Anolis sagrei: one gene and its partner. The protein of the gene in region 1 purifies or fractionates together with the protein of each later gene. This does not show direct contact. Links are inferred from orthologs where the notes say so. Each region holds a gene or a part of one and is shown in the gene's direction. Other genes may lie near its edges.

What was found.
Region 2: the proteins of SH3PXD2A (region 1) and FGD1 purify together in Homo sapiens (affinity purification with mass spectrometry; 3 studies listed by BioGRID and IntAct, with this or other methods). This does not show direct contact. The link is inferred for Anolis sagrei from reciprocal best matches to the Homo sapiens genes SH3PXD2A and FGD1.

The regions. Positions count from the first base shown.
Region 1 is NC_090023.1:213,448,787-213,457,919, forward strand, and holds the start of SH3PXD2A (SH3 and PX domain-containing protein 2A), read left to right. Parts: upstream 1-5,856; 5' UTR 5,857-6,509; coding exon 6,510-6,581; intron 6,582-9,133. UniProt on the Homo sapiens protein: Adapter protein involved in invadopodia and podosome formation, extracellular matrix degradation and invasiveness of some cancer cells. Binds matrix metalloproteinases (ADAMs), NADPH oxidases (NOXs) and phosphoinositides.
Region 2 is NC_090022.1:173,375,546-173,383,922, reverse strand, and holds the start of FGD1 (FYVE, RhoGEF and PH domain-containing protein 1), read left to right. Parts: upstream 1-5,000; 5' UTR 5,001-5,344; coding exon 5,345-5,585; intron 5,586-8,377. UniProt on the Homo sapiens protein: Activates CDC42, a member of the Ras-like family of Rho- and Rac proteins, by exchanging bound GDP for free GTP. Plays a role in regulating the actin cytoskeleton and cell shape.

The DNA.
Region 1 (9,133 bases):
CCAGCTGTATAGCCTTGTTTGTAATTTGCCATAGCAATTTTGACTGTTGGCAGGAATATCTTGTCATATTTTCCAATTTATGCTGGGATTGCATCCTATTTATGACATGTGCAAGACATATATGTACATTACAAATGTTGTGAGCCACATTCAGGTCGCGTTTATGGAGAAAAGGATATAAATTAAGATTTATTATTATTATTATTATTATTATTATTATTATTATTATTATTACTGTGGTAGTGCAGTGGATTAAACTGCTGGGCCATTGAACTTGCTGACTGGAAGGTTGGCAATTCTACTCCGGGGAGTGGGGTGAGCTCCTGCTGTTAAGCCCATCTTCTGCCAACCTAGCAGTTTGAAAACATGCAAATATGAGTAGATTAATAAATACCACTTCTGCAGGAAGGTAACAATGACCCATGCAGTCATGTTGCCACATGCTATAGGAAGTGTCTACGGACAACGCTGGCTCTTCGGCTTAGAAATGGAGATGAGCACCACCCCCCAGAGTTCGACATGACTAGACTTAATGTCAGGGGAAAACCTTCACCTTTACTTTATTATTATTACAGTACCCTACAAGTTTTCTGTAAAGGACATTCAGCCACTGTCAGTGAAAGAAGAAATGCTTTGTGCACAATGTTTGCTCATAGAGAATGGCTCCTTCAGAATGACCCACTAATATCCAAAACAATCCTGTACAGTATATACTCTAGGTAACTGGCTCCATCCTAAACCTATAAATAGAGCAATTCCATAACTCAACAAAGTGCCAGTTCTGGGAAAGACTCCTTCAACATTTCAAATTAGGATTAGCTCAGAACATTAACTTTCTAAAGCTTACGAATGTTCCCCAAAAAACTTTCATTCCAGCTTTGCCAACTCATCAATAACAGGTACAATAAAGTAATCCTGGCCCAAGAAGGTTTTCACATACACCTTACTAATGTTACCATACACACTTCTGGAAACATAACCTGCATAGATTAGTTAATTAAAAAGAGATAACATGCATTAAAATTACTTGCCTCAAGTGGCCAGTTTATACATTCTAGTAGAGCAAGAGTGCTGCCTAGTTTCAAAATTTAACACAGCACAGTAATTTTTTTTATTTGTGTCTTGCCCCCTCCTGATCAAATTTTATAGCATGATTACAAGAGGTGCCTGTCTCTTTTTGAAAGACAAGATGTGAGCACCCGCAGTTGATACAGTACTTATGAGCAATGCTGAATGGTATCCCCTGTGCCATCCCTCGATCTCTAGTTTCAACGTGAAAACCTCTGGGTTCAGGATGGTCTTGAAATGGCAACTCTAACCTGGCCTTGTTTTTCCCATCTCTCCAACTGGGTCAGCAAGGACTGGTATTATGTTCCTTCAAAGCTGGAGTTAAAATTGCTGGAAGAAACATTAACAACCTTGGATGTGCAGATGATACCACTTTGATAGCTGAAAGGGAGGAGGAGCTAAGGAGCCTTCTAATCAAGGTGAAAGAAGAAAGTGCAAAAGCTGGGTTGCAATTAAATATCAAAAAAGCCAAGATTATGGCAACAAGACTGATTGATAACTGTCAAATAGAGGGAGAAAATGTGGAGGCAGTGACAGACTTTGTATTTCTAGGTGCAAAGATTACTGCCGATACAGATTGCAGCCAGGAAATCAGAAGACGTTTACTTCTTGGGAGGAAAGCAATGACCAATCTCGATAAAATAGTTAAGAGTAGAGACATCACACTGGCAAACAAGATCTGCATAGTTAAAGCAATAGTATTCCCCGTAGTAACCTACAGATGTGAGAGCTAGACCATAAGGAAGCCTGAGTGAAGGAAGATAGATACTTTTGAACTGTGATGCTGGAGGAAAATTCCGAGAGTGTCTTGGACCGCATGATCAGACCAGTGCATACTTCAGGAAATAAAGCCTGACTGCTCATTGGAGGGAAGGATATTAGAGGCCAAGATGAAGTACTTTGGCCACATAATGAGAATACAAGAAGGCTTGGAGAAGACAATGATGCTGGGGGAAATGGAAGGAAAAAAGAAGAGGGGCAGACCAAGGGCAAGATCAGTGGATGGTGTTCTTGAAGGAACTGGGACCTTGAAGGAGTTGGGAGTGGTGACATGGGCTGGTTTATGAGGTCATGTAGAGTCGGAAGCGACTGAACAAATAAACAATTATAGGGTGCCATGGCAGAGTTTATTCAGAGGAGGTTTCTATGGCCTCCTTCTGAGTGAGAAACTGAGACTTGCCCAAGATTGCCCAGTGAGTTTCCATCACTGAAGGGGAATAAGAATCCTGATCTCATTAAGTCCTAGAGACCAACAAGCAAACCACTATGCCATGATGTCTGCCACCATGTTGTTACAACCCTTTTCAAGAAAAGAATAAACTATTTGTGTTGTTGAATGCTTTCATGTCCAGAACCACTGAGTTGCTGTGAGTTTTTTGGGCTGTATGGCCACGTTCCAGTAGCATTATGTCCTGTAGCATTATGCTTGCATCTGGCTGGTATCTTCAAAGTTTCTGTTGGCAGTGAGGCAACAGAATATATTTGTGGAAGGTTCGGGGTGGGAAGCAAGTCTGTTGAAGCAAGTGTGAATGCTGCAGTCAGTGAACTTGAATAGCATGGGTAACCATGAAGCTGCAGTCACAGATGAAGGTGAAATGTTAGGAGAGAATGCCACTGGAACATGGCCATACAGCCCAAAAAACTCACAACAACCCATCAAAGAAACTCCCTTTTTGTTGATTGTCCAGAATAATATGCTAACTGAGGGATTATTGAACTCATATTTTACCCCCCCCCCCCCCCCCAGAAAACCCAATAACTCCCTCCAAGAGTCTAAACCAGTTTTGTCTACAAACTCTAGTCTTCTGGATATGTTGGACTTCAGTTCCCTGAAACTTTGGGATTCTGGGAGCTGATCTCCAAGAGCCCTTAGGAAACCAGCAGATTCTAGTGCCTTCTGCTGAGTGAAGCACTAGCCTATGGTGCCCGGTGTCGGCCTCAACACTGAGAATTCTAGCCTTTTCTGCCAAAGTGTATTGGAGCCCCCGGTGGTGCAATGGGTTAAACCCTGATGCAGGCAGGTCTGAAGACCAGCAGGATGGAGGTTCGAATCCGGGGAGAGCACGGATGAGCTCCCTTTGTCAGTTCGAGTTCCACATGCAGGGACATGAGAGAAACCTCCCACAAGGATGGTAGAAACATCAAAACATCTGGGTGTCCGCTGGGCAATGTCCTTGCAGACTGCCAATTCTCTCTACCAGAAGCAACTTGCAGTTTCTCAAGTCTCTACCACAAGGATGGTAGAAACATCAAAACATGCGGGTATTCCCTAAGCAACATCCTTGCAGACTGTTAATTCTCTATACCAGAAGCAACTTGCAGTTTCTCAAGTCACTCCTCACACACACACACAAAACCCAAACCACAACTCTCAGGCTGCATGGCAGTTGAAGTGGCACCATAGTGAGTGATAATATGATAGCTGGGTCCGGAAGCTCTGAACATTATGGAGATGCTGCAAAGGTAGCTGTGAATAAGGGAAGAGAGGAGGCAGAGTGAGAGCAAGGAGAATGAAGGAAGGATAGAAAGGAGGGGATGCTTAGAGTAAGGGTTAGGGTTAGGGCAAGGTTTAGGGTAAAGTTTAGGGTTTGGGTTAGGGTAAGGGTTAGGGGTTGGGTAAGGGGTTGCTTAGGCTTATGATATGGTTCAGGGTTAGGGTAAGGGTTAGGGTCTCACCATTATAGAACTCTTACATTCCTTCTATATTATCTGTCTCCAACATGGCTTACATTAGCTAAGTCTCTTTTGCACAAACAGTACTCCTGAAGGAGTGATGCAGCATCTCCGTAACGCTCAGAGCTTCCTGACCCAGCTATCATACTATTACCCCAGAGTGCAATAAGTCTACAGTAGAGATTTTTTTTTCGATGTCAGAGGCGACTTGAAAAACTGCCAAGTTGCTTCTGGTATGAGAGAATTGGCCGCCTGCAAGGACATTGCCCAGGGGACACCTGGATGTTTTGGTGTTTTACCATCCTTGAGGGCTTTCATCGCTATGATACTTCATCTTGTTGATGGGAAGCTTCCCACTGGAGTGGAAATCATCTATTGGGCAGATGGAAAGCTATTTGACCTCAGCAGACTGAAGTGCAAAACCAAGGTTACATCAACATGTGTTATAGAACTCCAATATGCTGATGATAGTGTCATCTATGTGCATTCAGAAGACAACCTACAAGCCACTCTAAGCACCTTCGCAGAAGCATACAAGAAGCTCAGTCTGTAATTGAACATTGAGAAAAGCAAAGTGCTCTTCCAGCAGTCACCAGCCAATCCCTCTCCAATGCCAGAAATACAGCTTAATGGTGTAACATTAGAAAATGTTGATCATTTCCGCTCCCTTGGCAGCCACTTCTCCACAAAAGTCAAAATTGACACTGAAATACAACACTGTCTGAGCTCTGTGAGTGCAGCATTTTTTCTGAATGAGGCAGAGAGTGTTTGAGGACCGGGACATCCGTAGGAATACCAAGGTGCTTGCTTATAAAGCTATTGTCCTCCCAACCCTGCTATATGCCTGCGAAATGTGGACTGTCTACTGATGTCACATGCAACTCCTGGAACAATTCCATCAGTGCTGTCCCCGGAAAATCCTGCAAATCTCTTGTGAAGACAAGCGGACAAATGTCAGCGTGCTGGAAGAAGCAAATAACACCAGCATTGAAACAATGGTCCTCTAACATCAACTCCGCTGGACCAGCCATGTTGTCCGGATGCTTGACCACCATCTCCCAAAGCAGTTGCTCTACTCTGAACTCAAGAACAGAAAACGGAATGTCAGAGGGCAGGAAAAGAGATTTAAAGATGGGCTCAAAGCCAACCTTAAAAACTCTGGCATGAACTGGGAAGCCTTGGCCCTTGAGCGCTCCAGCTAGAGGTCAGCTGTGACCAGCAGTGCTGTAGAATTCAAAGAGGCACAAATGGAGGGCGAAAGAGAGAAATGTGTCAAGAGGAAGGTGCGTCATGCCAACCCCGACCGGGACTGCTTTCCATCTGGAAACCAATGCCCTCACGGCGGGAGAAGATGCAGATCAAGAATAGGTCTCCACAGTCACCTACGGATCCACCGCCACTACACCAATCCTACTCCGACAATGAGGGATCCTTACCTAAGTAAGGAAGACTTCTGGGTTGTTGTAAGTTTTTTCGGGCTATATGGCCATGGTCTAGAGGCATTCTCTCCTGACGTTTCGCCTGCATCTATGGCAAGCATCCTTAGAGGTAGTGAGGTCCTCTCATGTCCCCGCATGGGGAGCTGGAGCTGACAAAGGGAGCTCATCTGCGCTCTCCCCGGATTCGAACCTCAGTCTTCAGTCCTGCGGGCAGAAGGGTTTAACCTAGGCATCCTCAAACTGCCTAGCTGTTTGTTCCCCCAACTCCCAAAAGGCCTAACGAGCTTGTTCAATTGTCAGGAATTTTGGGAGTTGAAGGCCTAAAAAGCTGGAGGGCCGGAGTTTGAGGGTGCCTGGCTTCACCCATTGCGTCACCGGGAGATGCACCCTAAACTTGGCAGGAACAAGGGTGTCCCTTAGGCTGGAAGTTTTCCCTCCCGACTTAGAAGTCCCGGGGAGCTTTTCTTTGGCGCGCAAAGCGGACGCTTCTGTCCGGCCTGAAACGAGGCCCTGGTAGCCAGGGAGGGGGCTTTCCAGAGGCGGGAGGCATCCCTTCTTGCCCTCGGGCTTCCTTGCCAATCTCCTCAGGCTCCCCGCGGGCAGGAGGCGCTGAGGGGGAGGAGCCGGGCTGGAGGGGGGCTTCCCTAGGAGTGCCCAGCCCCGGGAGAGAAAGAAAGAAAGAGAGGGGAGACCCGGCTTTCTCCTTCCCTCCGCTCCTCCTCCTTGAAGTCCAGCCCCTCGCCTGGTCCGGCGAAGAGGCGAGCGAGGAGAAGGAGCCCCTCGCCCTGCCTTGCCTTTGCCTCCTTCCTTCCTTCCCTTCAAGCAGCAGAAACAGCAGCAGCTGCACCAAGGAGCGTTGCCAAAGGCTTCTCTAAGGAAGCTGAAGATCAAACAGCCCAGCATTGGAAGGGAAGGGAAAAGGAAGGAGGGAGGCAGGGGGGAAGCGAAGGCAGGCAGGCATCTCCAGAGAAAGAGACACATAAACAAACACAACAAACACTCCGGGAACTAACTGCCTGAGGGGACTGACTCCATTCCCTCGCGCTTCCCCTCAACGCAGTCCTAGGCTTCTCTTGGAAGGGACTCTGCAAGGACTTCGCCGGCATGCCTGCAGCGCCGGGAGACATTCTCCCCTTTGATACAAACCCTGCCTATTGAAAGCTCGCCTTCTGCAAAGATCTGCAAAGTTTGGGGTTGTCCTATCTCCACCGGAGCAGGAAAGCAAAGGCGGGGGCGAGGAGGCACCCCAGGAAATCCTTCTGGAGGAATACATCCAAGGATACATCTGGACGGAGTGTGCGTTTCCTGGTTTTCCTGGACGGGACCAAGATGCTGTCCTACAGCGTCCTGGATGCTAACGTGGTGGACGTGGAGAAAAGGAGAAGCCCTTCCAAGCATTATGTGAGTAGAGGGGAGCCATCAAACAATCAGCATCATCACTGGGTTGTTGTGGGTTTTTCAGGCAATGTTCTGGAAGCATTCTTTCCTGACGTTTCGCCTCCATCTATGGCAGGTATCTTCAGAGGTTGTGAGGTCTGCTGGAAACTAGGAAAACTAAGAAACTGCAGATATATAAACTACATTTTTCTAGTTTCCAACAGACCTCACAACTTCTGAGGATGCCTGCCATAGATGTAGACAAAATGTCAGGAGAGAATGCTTCTGGAACATGGCCATATAGCCTGAAAAACCTACAACAACCCAGTGATTCTGGCCATGAAAGCCTTCGACAGTACAAATAATCAAAATCGTTGCACAATATTGCCATGCTCTAGAAGCATTCTCTCCTGACGTTTCGCCTGCATCTATGGCAGGCATCATCAGAGATTGAGAGGTCTGTTGGAAACTAGGAAAATGGGGTGTATATATCTGCAGTTTCCTAGTTTCCTGACATTTCGCCTGCATCTATGGCAGGTATCCTCAGAAGATGCCTGTCATAGATCATCAAACTACAAGCAAGGAGATTTCAAACTACAAGAAAGGAGGTTCCATCTGAACATCAGGAAGAAGTTCCTGACTGTGAGAGGTGTTCAGCAGTGGAACTCTCTGCCCCGGGTTGTGATGGAGGCTCCTTCTTTGGAGGCTTTTGAACAGAGGCTGGGTGGCCATGTGTCGGGGGTTCTTTGAATGCAATTTTCCTGCTTCTTGACAGGGGGTTGGACTGGATGGCCCATGAAGTCTCTTCCAACTCTATGGTTCTATGATTTTATGAAGAGTCTTGTTGGAAACTAGGAAACTGCAGATATATAAATTTTCCTAGCTTCCAACAGACCTCACAACCTCTGAGGATGCTTGCCATAGATGCAGGCGAAACATCAGGAGAGAATGCTTCTGGAACATGGCCATATAGCGCGATAAACCTACAACAACCCAATTATTCCGGCCATGAAAGCCTTCGACAATACAAATAATCATAATCATTGGGCTGGTGTAGGTTTTTTAGGCTATATTGGAAAAATAGGAAACTGCAGATATATAAACCCAATTTTCCTAGTTTCCAACAGACCTCACAACCTCTGAGGATGCCTGCCACAAATGCAGGCAAAACGTCAGGAGAGAATGCTTCTAGAACATTGCCATATAGCCCGACAAACCTACAACAACCCAGTGATTCTGGTCATGAAAGCCTTTGATCATAATCGTAATCATAAGATGCATGCCATGGCAGGGGAGAGGGGTATCTCCCTTGAAGCTTTTCTGGTGGGACTGAAGGCTGCAAGTGCCAAAGAGATCTTTTGAGAATGGGGAAGGTGGGAGGAAGTACTTTATTTTATCCTTTTCCCCAGTCCCAGACCTCTTGGCATAGTGTGATGGTAACGCTTGACAAGCCTCAGAGGAAAGCAAGAGCAAACCCCCTCTGAGCCAATTCTGCCAAGTGATGCCTTCACCTTCGGGTTGTCACAATTCAGAAAGGACTTGAAGGCACACAAATCAAAAGCACAGCAGCTTTGGCAAGTGATGTCACCATCCCTGTCCCTTGAGAATGCGCTTGTGTGTAATCAATAACAACAACAAAGCCTCGTGACACCTTCCATTGGAGATTGGTGCATTTATGATGACATAACTTGCAACTGGCATTGGTGGCTTTCTCAAGTGCAGACAGTGCCTGCAACTCATATGTTTGACTATTTAAAGAGCCCCAAGATACAGGGTTGATGTGAGTTTTCTGGCCTGTATGGCCATGTTCCAGAAACATTCTCTCCTGACGTTTCACCCACATCTATGGCAAGCATGCCTAGAGGTTGTGAGTTCTGTTGGAAACTAGGCAAGTGTGGTATATATATATGTGGAATGCCCAGGGTGGGAAACAAACTCTTACCAGTTTGAGGCAGGTGTGAATGTTGCAATTGGCCACCTTGATCAGCATTGAATGGACTTGCAGTTTCAAAGCCTGGATGCTGCCTACCTGGGGGAATCCTTTGTTGGGAGTTGTTAAAGGTAAAGGTTTCCCCTAATATAATGTCTAGTTGTGTCTGAATCTGGGGAGTGGTGCTCATCCCCATTTATAAGCCGAAAAGCTGCCGTTGTCTGTAGACACCTCCAAGGCCATGTGGCCAGATTGACTGCATGGAGCACCGTGCCCTTCCCGCCAGTCCGGTACCTATTGATCTACTCACATTACATGTTTTCAAACTTCTAGTTGTTAGCTGGCCCTGATTATGTCATGTCTGGAAGTCTTCTGTTTTCTGAGTGTTCTTCTTTATTTACTGTCCTGATTTCAGAGTTTTTAAAATACTGGTAGTCAGATTTTGTTCATTTTCATTGTTTTTTCCTTTCTGTTGAAATTGTCCACATGCCTGTGGATTTCAGTGGCTTCTCTGTGTAGTTTGACATGGTAGTTGTGAGAGTGCTCCAGCATTTCTGTGTTCTCAAATAATATGCTGTGTCCAGGTTGGATACCTGCTATAGATGCACATGAAATGTCAGGAGAGAATACTTCTGGAACAAGGACA
Region 2 (8,377 bases), on another chromosome or scaffold:
GGGGAGAAAAACAAACCCTGGAAATCAGATGTTTACTGTTGCTCTGTTGTAAAAAAAATGTACAGTATTATGAAAAGTGTGTGACCATTTTTAGAAGCGGAGTGAGGAATGGAATTGAGTGAAAGAGGAAGGACTTGGCATTCTCCAATATACTGTGCAATTTCTTAGGAAACCCAGTCAGACCCATGTGTAAACTTTTATAACTGAAAAACAACATGCTTCTGGACATATTCTGCACCCAAGAGTTTTTCAATTTTCAGTACCGTAACTGCAGTGAGATCACAATCTTTTAGTACAAATACTGATTGATAGTCTCTCTCATTACTTCAGTTTATCTTATTTAGGTGAAGCGAATAGTTTCTGTGGTTGCTGCTATTCCGATTGGGTTCCCCAGAAATCCTAGATGACCCCCCTCCAAACCATCTAGAGCAGGGGTCCTCAAACTATGGCCCGGGGGCCGGATATGGCCCTCCAAGGTCAATTATCTGGCCCTCGCTCAGGTTCAACCTAAGTCTGAAACGACTTGAAAGTACACAACAACAACAACAACAATTTTATCTCATCAGCCAAAAGCAGGCCCACACTTTTGATTGAAATACTAATAAGTTTACATTTGTTGAAATTGTTCTTCATTTTAATTATTGTTGTATTGTTTTAAAGTTGTTGTTTTTTTGCACTACAAATAAGATTTGAATGCACACAACAACAATCCTATCTCATGAGCCAAAAGCAGGCCTATGATTCCCACTGAAATACTACTAAGTTTATTTTTGTTAAAATTGTTCTTCATTGAGTCCCTTGGGGAGATAGAGTGGAATATAAATATATTATTATTATTATTATTATTATTATTATTATTATTATATTGTTTTTAAGTGTTTTTTGCACTACAAATAAGATATGTGCAGTGTGCATAAGAATTCATTCACTTTTTTTCTCCAAATTATGATCCGGACCAGGCCCGTAGCCAGGATTTCGATTGGGGGGGGGGGTGTGAGTTTTTTTCAGGGGGGAGTTTCGGGGGGGGGGGCTGAGTTTCGGGGGGGCTGAGTCTGAGTGAAAGAGGGTCTACCCTAGCAAACCTTTTGTATTGTTACCCCAATACCCCCATGCATATGGGATATATTGATTATGGTGATCAGATCATGATATGAATAAACATAACCGTTTAAATAATTCACCAGTAAGGCCTTTTTGCGAACCACCATGTGAATTTCGGGGGGGGGGGGGGGGGGCTGAAGCCCCTCAAGCCCCCCCCCCCCCCCGAAATTCACATGGTGGTTCGCAAAAAGGCCTTACTGGTGAATTATTTAAACGGTTATGTTTATTCATATCATGATCTGATCACCATAATCAATATATCCCATATGCCTGATCCCATATGCCCGGCTACATGCCTGATCCGGACCTCCAACTGTGTCCTGGCCCTCTGTTTAAAATGTTTGAGGACCCCTGATCTAGAGATCCAATGGTAGATTTCTTTTGGCCTTCTTCCCACTTTGGGGGGGGGGGGTTTACAGGATAAATTGGAAAATGCTGGGACCTAAAACAATAAACTGTCCTGAAAAGAACTCCACAGTACTTCATTTGGAAGGAGGAAACAATGTGGATGAATTCATCAGCCTAAATCCCATGATAATCCCAGCTAGAATAGGCTCACTGAACTGATGGAATTTTGGGCATCTACATGTAGAATTAGTACTGTTTGACACCACCTTGACTGCTGTAAATCAATGCTATGAAATCATCAGTATTGTAGTGTTATAAGGCCTTTACATTTCTCTGCCAATGAGTGCTGAGGCAACTCCCAGGCTTCTATATTGAGAGATGGCAGTTAAAATGATGACGAACTGCATTAATTCTACAGTTTTGATCAGTGATTCCCAAGCTGTGGTCCGTGGAAGTGGAACTCTCTGCCCTGGAGTGTGGTGGAGGCTCCTTCTTTGGAGGCTTTATAGCAGAGGATGGATGGCCATCTCTCGAGGGTGCTTTGAATGCAATTTTCCTGTTTCTTGACAGGGGGTTGGACTGGATGGCCCATGAGGTCTCTTCAACTCAATGATTCTATGATTCAACTAGCGGTCCCCTGCCACGCGTTGCTGTGGCACAGTCTGGTGATCTGGGAAATAAAGTAATGAGAAAGTATTGGTTTCCAATATATGTAATTTCTTTATGCTTGTGGTTAACAGTATTTCTTGCTGTTTCTTTGTCAGTGTTGATGTGGAGATGGGGTTGCCTACTCTAGAACATGCAACATATAATTGTCCTTCTTTAGGGGTCTCTTTCAAATCTATGATACTACATCTCTCTGTGTGTGAATCATATCCTATCTATATCTATGGCTGGACGGGTCTTTGTCAGGAGGGCTTTGATTACATTTTCTTGCCCTGGTGGCCTTAAGTATTTTCTATTGGTAATGGGGGTTCTGTATGGGAAGTCTGCACCAATTCTGACGTTCGTGGGGTTCAGAATGCTCTTTAATTGTAGGTGAACTGTAAATCCCAGTAACTACAACTCCCAAATGTCAAGGTCTATTTCCTCCAAACTCCATCTGTGTTCATATTTGGGCATATGAAATATTAACGCCAAGTTTGGTCCAGATCCATCATTGAATCCACAGTGCTCTCTGGATGTAGGTGAACTACAACTCCCAAACTCAAAGTCAATGCCCACCAAACCTTTCTAGTGTTTTCTATTGGTCATGGGAGTCTGTGTGCTACGTTTGGTTCAATCCCATCATTGGTAGAGTTCAGAATGCTCTTTGATTGTAGGTTAACTATAAATCCCGGAAACTACAACTCCCAAATGTCAAGGTCTATTTCCTCCAAACGCCATCTGTGTTCACATTTGGGCATATGAACTATTCATGTCCAGTTTGGTCCAGATCCATCATTGTTTTGAGTCCATAGTGCTCTCTGGATGTGGATGAACTAAAACTCTCAAACTCAAGGTCAATGCTCACCAAACCCTTCTACTGTTTTCTGTTGGTCATGGGAGTCCTGTGTGCCACGTTTAGTTCAGTTCCATCATTGGTGGAGTTCAGAATGCTTTTTGATTGTAGGTGAACCAAAAATCCCAGCAAGTACAACTCCCAAATGACAAAATCAATTTTTAAAGCGAAAGACATACATTGAGTTGTTTGTTGTATGCTTGGCGGTTCTGTGTGGGAAGTTTGCCCAAATTCTGTCGTTGGTGGGGTTTAGCATGCTCTTTGATTGTAGGTGAACTATAAATCCCAGTAACTACAACTCCCAAATGTCAAGGTCTATTCCCCCTAAACTCCATCTGTGTTTGTATTTGGGGATATGGAGTATTCGTGCCAAGTTTGGTCCAATCCATCATTGTTTGAGTCCACAGTGCTCTCTGGATGTAGGTGAACTACAACTCCCAAACTCAAAGTCGGTGCCCACCAAACCCTTCTAGTGTTTTCAGTTGGTCATGGGAGTCCTGTATGCCATGTTTGGTTCAATTCCATCATTGGTAGTGTACAGAATGCTCTTTGATTGTAGGTGAACTATAAATCCCAGTAAGTACAACTCCCAAATGACAAAATCATTTTTTTTAAAGAGAAAGACATACATTGAGTTGTTTGGTGTATGCTTGGCGGTTCTGTGTGGGAAGTTTGCCCAAATTCTGTCATTGGTGGGGTTCAGCATGCTCTTTAATTGTAGGTGAACTATAAATCCCAGTACGTACAACTCCCAAATGTCAAGGTCTGTTTCCCCCAAACTCCATATGTGTTTGTATTTGGGTATATGGAGTATTCGTGCCAAGTTTGGTCCAGATCCATCATTGTTTGAGTCCACAGTGCTCTCTGGATGTGGGTGAACTACAACTCCCAAACGTAAGGTCAATGCCCACCAAACCCTTCTAGTGTTTTTTTTTTTTTGGTCATGGGAGTCCTGTATGCAGGGACGGCTCAATCATTACGCAAAGTAAGCTCTTGCAGTATAGTTGGTTTTACCCAGGGATGCTCTTGATGCTTTCTTGGGGGAAAATAGACCTTGACATATGCGAGTTGTAGTTACTGGGATGTATAGTTCACCTAAAATCAAAGAGCATTCTGAACTCCACCAATGATGGAATTGAACCAAATATGGCACACAGAACTCCAACGACGAACAGAAAATATATATCAGTGATTGGTGGGGGGGGGGGGGGGCGCCAAAATACTGTTTGCTTACCATTGAAAATTACCTAGTGCCGCCTCTGCCTGTATGCCATGTTTGGTTCAATTCCATCACTGGTAGAGTTCAGAATGTTCTTTGATTGTAGGTGAACTATAAATCCCAGCCAGTACAACTCCCAAGTGACAAAATCAATTTTTTAAGCGAAAGACATACATTGAGTTGTTTGGTGTATGCTTGGCGGTTCTGTGTGGGAAGTTTCCCCAAATTCTGTCCTTGGTGGGGTTTAGCATGCTCTTTGATTGCAGGTGAACTATAAATCCCAGTAACTACCACTCCCAAATGTTAAGGTCTATTCCCCCCAAACTCCATCTGTGTTCCTAGTTGGGCATATGGAATATTCGTGCCAAGTTTGGTCCAGATCCATCACTGTTTAAGTCCACAGTGCTCTCTGGGTGTAGGAGAACTACAACTCCAACCCAGTTCAAAGCAGATAATGTGGGATTTGATTGAACTGTGTGGAAGGGGCAGGGAAAAGGCAGAAAGAGGGGGAAAAGAAAGCAAGAGTGAGGAGAGACTGAACCCCCAACCTTGAAATTAATTCAAACTCTAGAGAAGATCAAAGCCTCCCTTTTTGAGACTTCCCCAAAATATTATTTTTTTGAGAGAGGAGACAAGGAGAAACCTCAAAGTAAACTGACTTCAAAAACGAGCTGATTCCTCCCCCCCCCCCCATAACAGCTGTTGGTGGCTCCCTCCCAAGTGAGAAGAAATCAATTGCCAACCCCCCCCCCCCCCAATATCCAGGGGAGGGGAGGAAGAGAGGGGAAAGACACCCCCCTTTTTTTGCACTGATCTGCTCCTCCCTAAAAGGCAGGCAAGGCGAACCAATCGACGTTTGTGGCTGTGTGTGGCTCATGAAATCCTGATTTTTTAAACACACACACACACATACAGAGGAAGGTTTGGTTGCAAACCTTCTTGCAAGGAGTAAGGGCGGAGAGGGGGGGATCTGTGGAGAGAGAGAGAGAAAGAGAAAAGGAAGGGAGGGAGGAAGAAGAAGAGGAGGAAAAGGGAGGGAGGGAGGAAGAAGAGGAGGAGGAGCAGACCCTCCAACGTGGAAAAGCTCTCCAGCCTCCTCTCTGGTCCCTTCCTGGCCAAGACTTGTTGCAAAGGACCTGCCTGCATGCTGAGGATCCACTCGGGATGTGTTTCTAATGGGCGATGGGGGCTGCCAGGGGCTCGACACTGGGGGGCCGCCCTGGGCTGGCTTTTGGGGGGGACTGAAGGAGGCAGGGGAGCCCTGCAGCCCAGGCATCATGCAGAGGAGCAGCCTGGTGGGCATGCCCAGCCCGGAGCCCAGCGGATCCTACTCGCAGCAGTTCAAAGCCATGAGGTTTTCCTACCACATCGAAGGGGGCGCCCCCTCTGCCTCGCCTGCGCCCCACAACCGAGCCGGTAAGCCCCAGCAGTGGGGATCGGGGCGTGTGTGGATGGAGCCAAGCCCCCCCTGTCTTATCTCGCCCATCGATGGAGGGGATGGGCTGAGGCCAGGGCTTGGGGTGGCCTCTGAATTGTGAAAGGGAAGTCTGCTCCAATGGTTCAAGCTTCCGGGTTCAGGGGAGTGGGAGACAGTGGGAGAAAGGGGGGAGGAGGGAGGCCCTTCTACCCTGCCCTATATCATCCCAGGATCTGATCCCAGATGATCTGGCAGTTCAAAGCAAATAACCTGGGATGTATGGGCAGTGTAGAAGGGGCTGAAATACCTGGGGGCATCAGGGCCTTGGGATGTGCCATCTGCCTACATTGACACCACTTGAGCTGTCAAGGCTCACATCTGGGGAATCATGGGATTTGTAGTTGAACAACAATCACAACAACAGAGGAAGGAATCCAGCTTCAAAATCAATTTTCTATATTATTATTATTATTATTATTATTATGGTATTATTGTGGTTTGGCGGCAACAACAACAGAGGAAGGAATCCAGCTTCCAAAGTAAATTTTCTATATTATTATTATTATTATTATTATTATTATTATTGTGGTTTTGCAACAACAACAGAGCAAAGAATCCAGTTCAAAATCAATTTTCTATATTATTATTATTATTATTATTGTATTATTATTGGGGTTTGGCAACAACAACAACAGAGCAAGGAATCCAGCTTCAAAATCAAATTTCTATATTATTATTATTATTATTATTATTGTAGTTTCGCAACAACAGAGCAAGGAATCCAGCTTCCAAATCATTTATTATTATTATTATTATTGTAGTTTGGCAGCAACAACAACAGAGCAAGGAAGCCAGCTCAAAATCAATTTTCTATATTATTATTATTATTATTATTATTGTGGTTTGGCAACAAGAGAGCAAGGAATCCAGCTTCAAAATCAATTTTCTATATTATTATTATTATTATTATGGTTTGGCAACAACGACAGAGCAAGGAATCCAGCTTCAAAATCAATTTTCTATATTATTATTATTATTATTATTATTGTATTATTGTAGTTTGGCAACAACAACAACAAAAGACCAAGGAATCCAGCTTCCAAATCGATTTTCTATATTATTATTATTATTATTGTAGTTTGGCAACAACAACAACAGAGCAAGGAATCCACCTTAAAATCAAATTTCTATATTTATATTATTATTGTTATTATTATTATTATTATTATTATTGTAGTTTGGCAACAACAACAGAGCAAGGAATCCAGCTTCCAAATCAATTTTCTATATAATAATAATAATAATAATAATAATAATAATAATATAATAATAATAATAATTGTAGTTTGGCAATAACAACAATAGAGCAAGGAACCCAGCTTCCAAATTAATTTTCTATATTATTATTATTATTATTGTAGTTTGGCAGCAACAACAGAGCAAGGAATCCAGCTTCCAAATCAATTTTCTATATTATTATTGTAGTTTGGCAATAACAGAGCAAGGAACCCAGCTTCAAAATCAATTTTCTATTTATTATTATTATTATTATTATTTGTTTGCCAACAACAACAGAGCAAGAAATCCAGCTTCAAAATCAATTTTCTATTTATTATTATTATTATTAATTTTATTTCCTACCGACCTCATGTTACGGGCAAAACACACAAACATTACAAAAATTCCATAAACATATACATTACAATGTAGTTCTTTAAAAGATACATATTAAAAACATATTTCTATAAAAACACGTCTTGAAATGTATTTCTATCAAATACATATGAAATACACAGGATAGATTAGAACACAGGACACGAATTTAAAATTAATCTCCGGGGTCATGTAACTAACTATGTTTGTAGTTTAGACTTATATGGGATCAGAGCAGAGATGTGTTGTATAGTCTGATATGTAATTGTTGTGTGGTATGACTGTGTTTGTGTATGTATCAGTGTTGTGTTTTGTTTTTGTTTTTTGTATTGTTGAAGGCTTTTATGACCGGAATTACTGGGTTGTTGTAGGTTTTTTCGGGCTGTATGGCCATGTTCTAGAGGCATTTTCTCCTGACGTTTCGCCTGCATCTATGGCAAGCATCCTCAGAGGTAGTGAGGTCTTTTTTTGGTGTGTGGCTTCTTTCTGTTAATTAAAAAAAAACTATTGAATCATATTAATACTAATATTTGCCCACCTCTTCTTGGGGCAGGGTAAAACATTGTTAACACAAAGAGATAAGGCGTGTACGTATCAATATTTTATTTGTGCTTTTCTCCTGATATTTTTTAAAAAAATTTAAACTAACAACAACAACCATCATCATAAATTATCTGCCTCCCCATGAGATGGGGTATTTATTTATTTATTTCGGGCTTTTATATCCCGTCCTATCTCAACTTCCGCAGAGGGACTCAGGACGGGTACAACATTGTGAAAAGAAAGAGATAAAGCGCTATTAAAATACATATAATAAGATACACAGAGTTAAAATGCAGGTTCAGATTCACAAGTTGACATTGACTGGGGAGGCTTGCAGGAAGAGATGAGTTTTGACCCTTCCTTGACACACTCTTACTCCGATGATCCCATAACTGGTGTCAAACTGCATCCGTTTTATAGTGTAAACGCATCCATAGCTGGAGCAAATGTGGATTGTTCTCTTTTGGGGGATTGTCCGAAGCTGCAGCCTCTTTAGGTCCTAAATGAGTGTGTGAACTTGTTTTGTCTTCTGCCCTGTCCTGTCAAAGGTGCCCAAAACTATCCCCGAAACCCTAAAATATAGGAGGAAGGACGT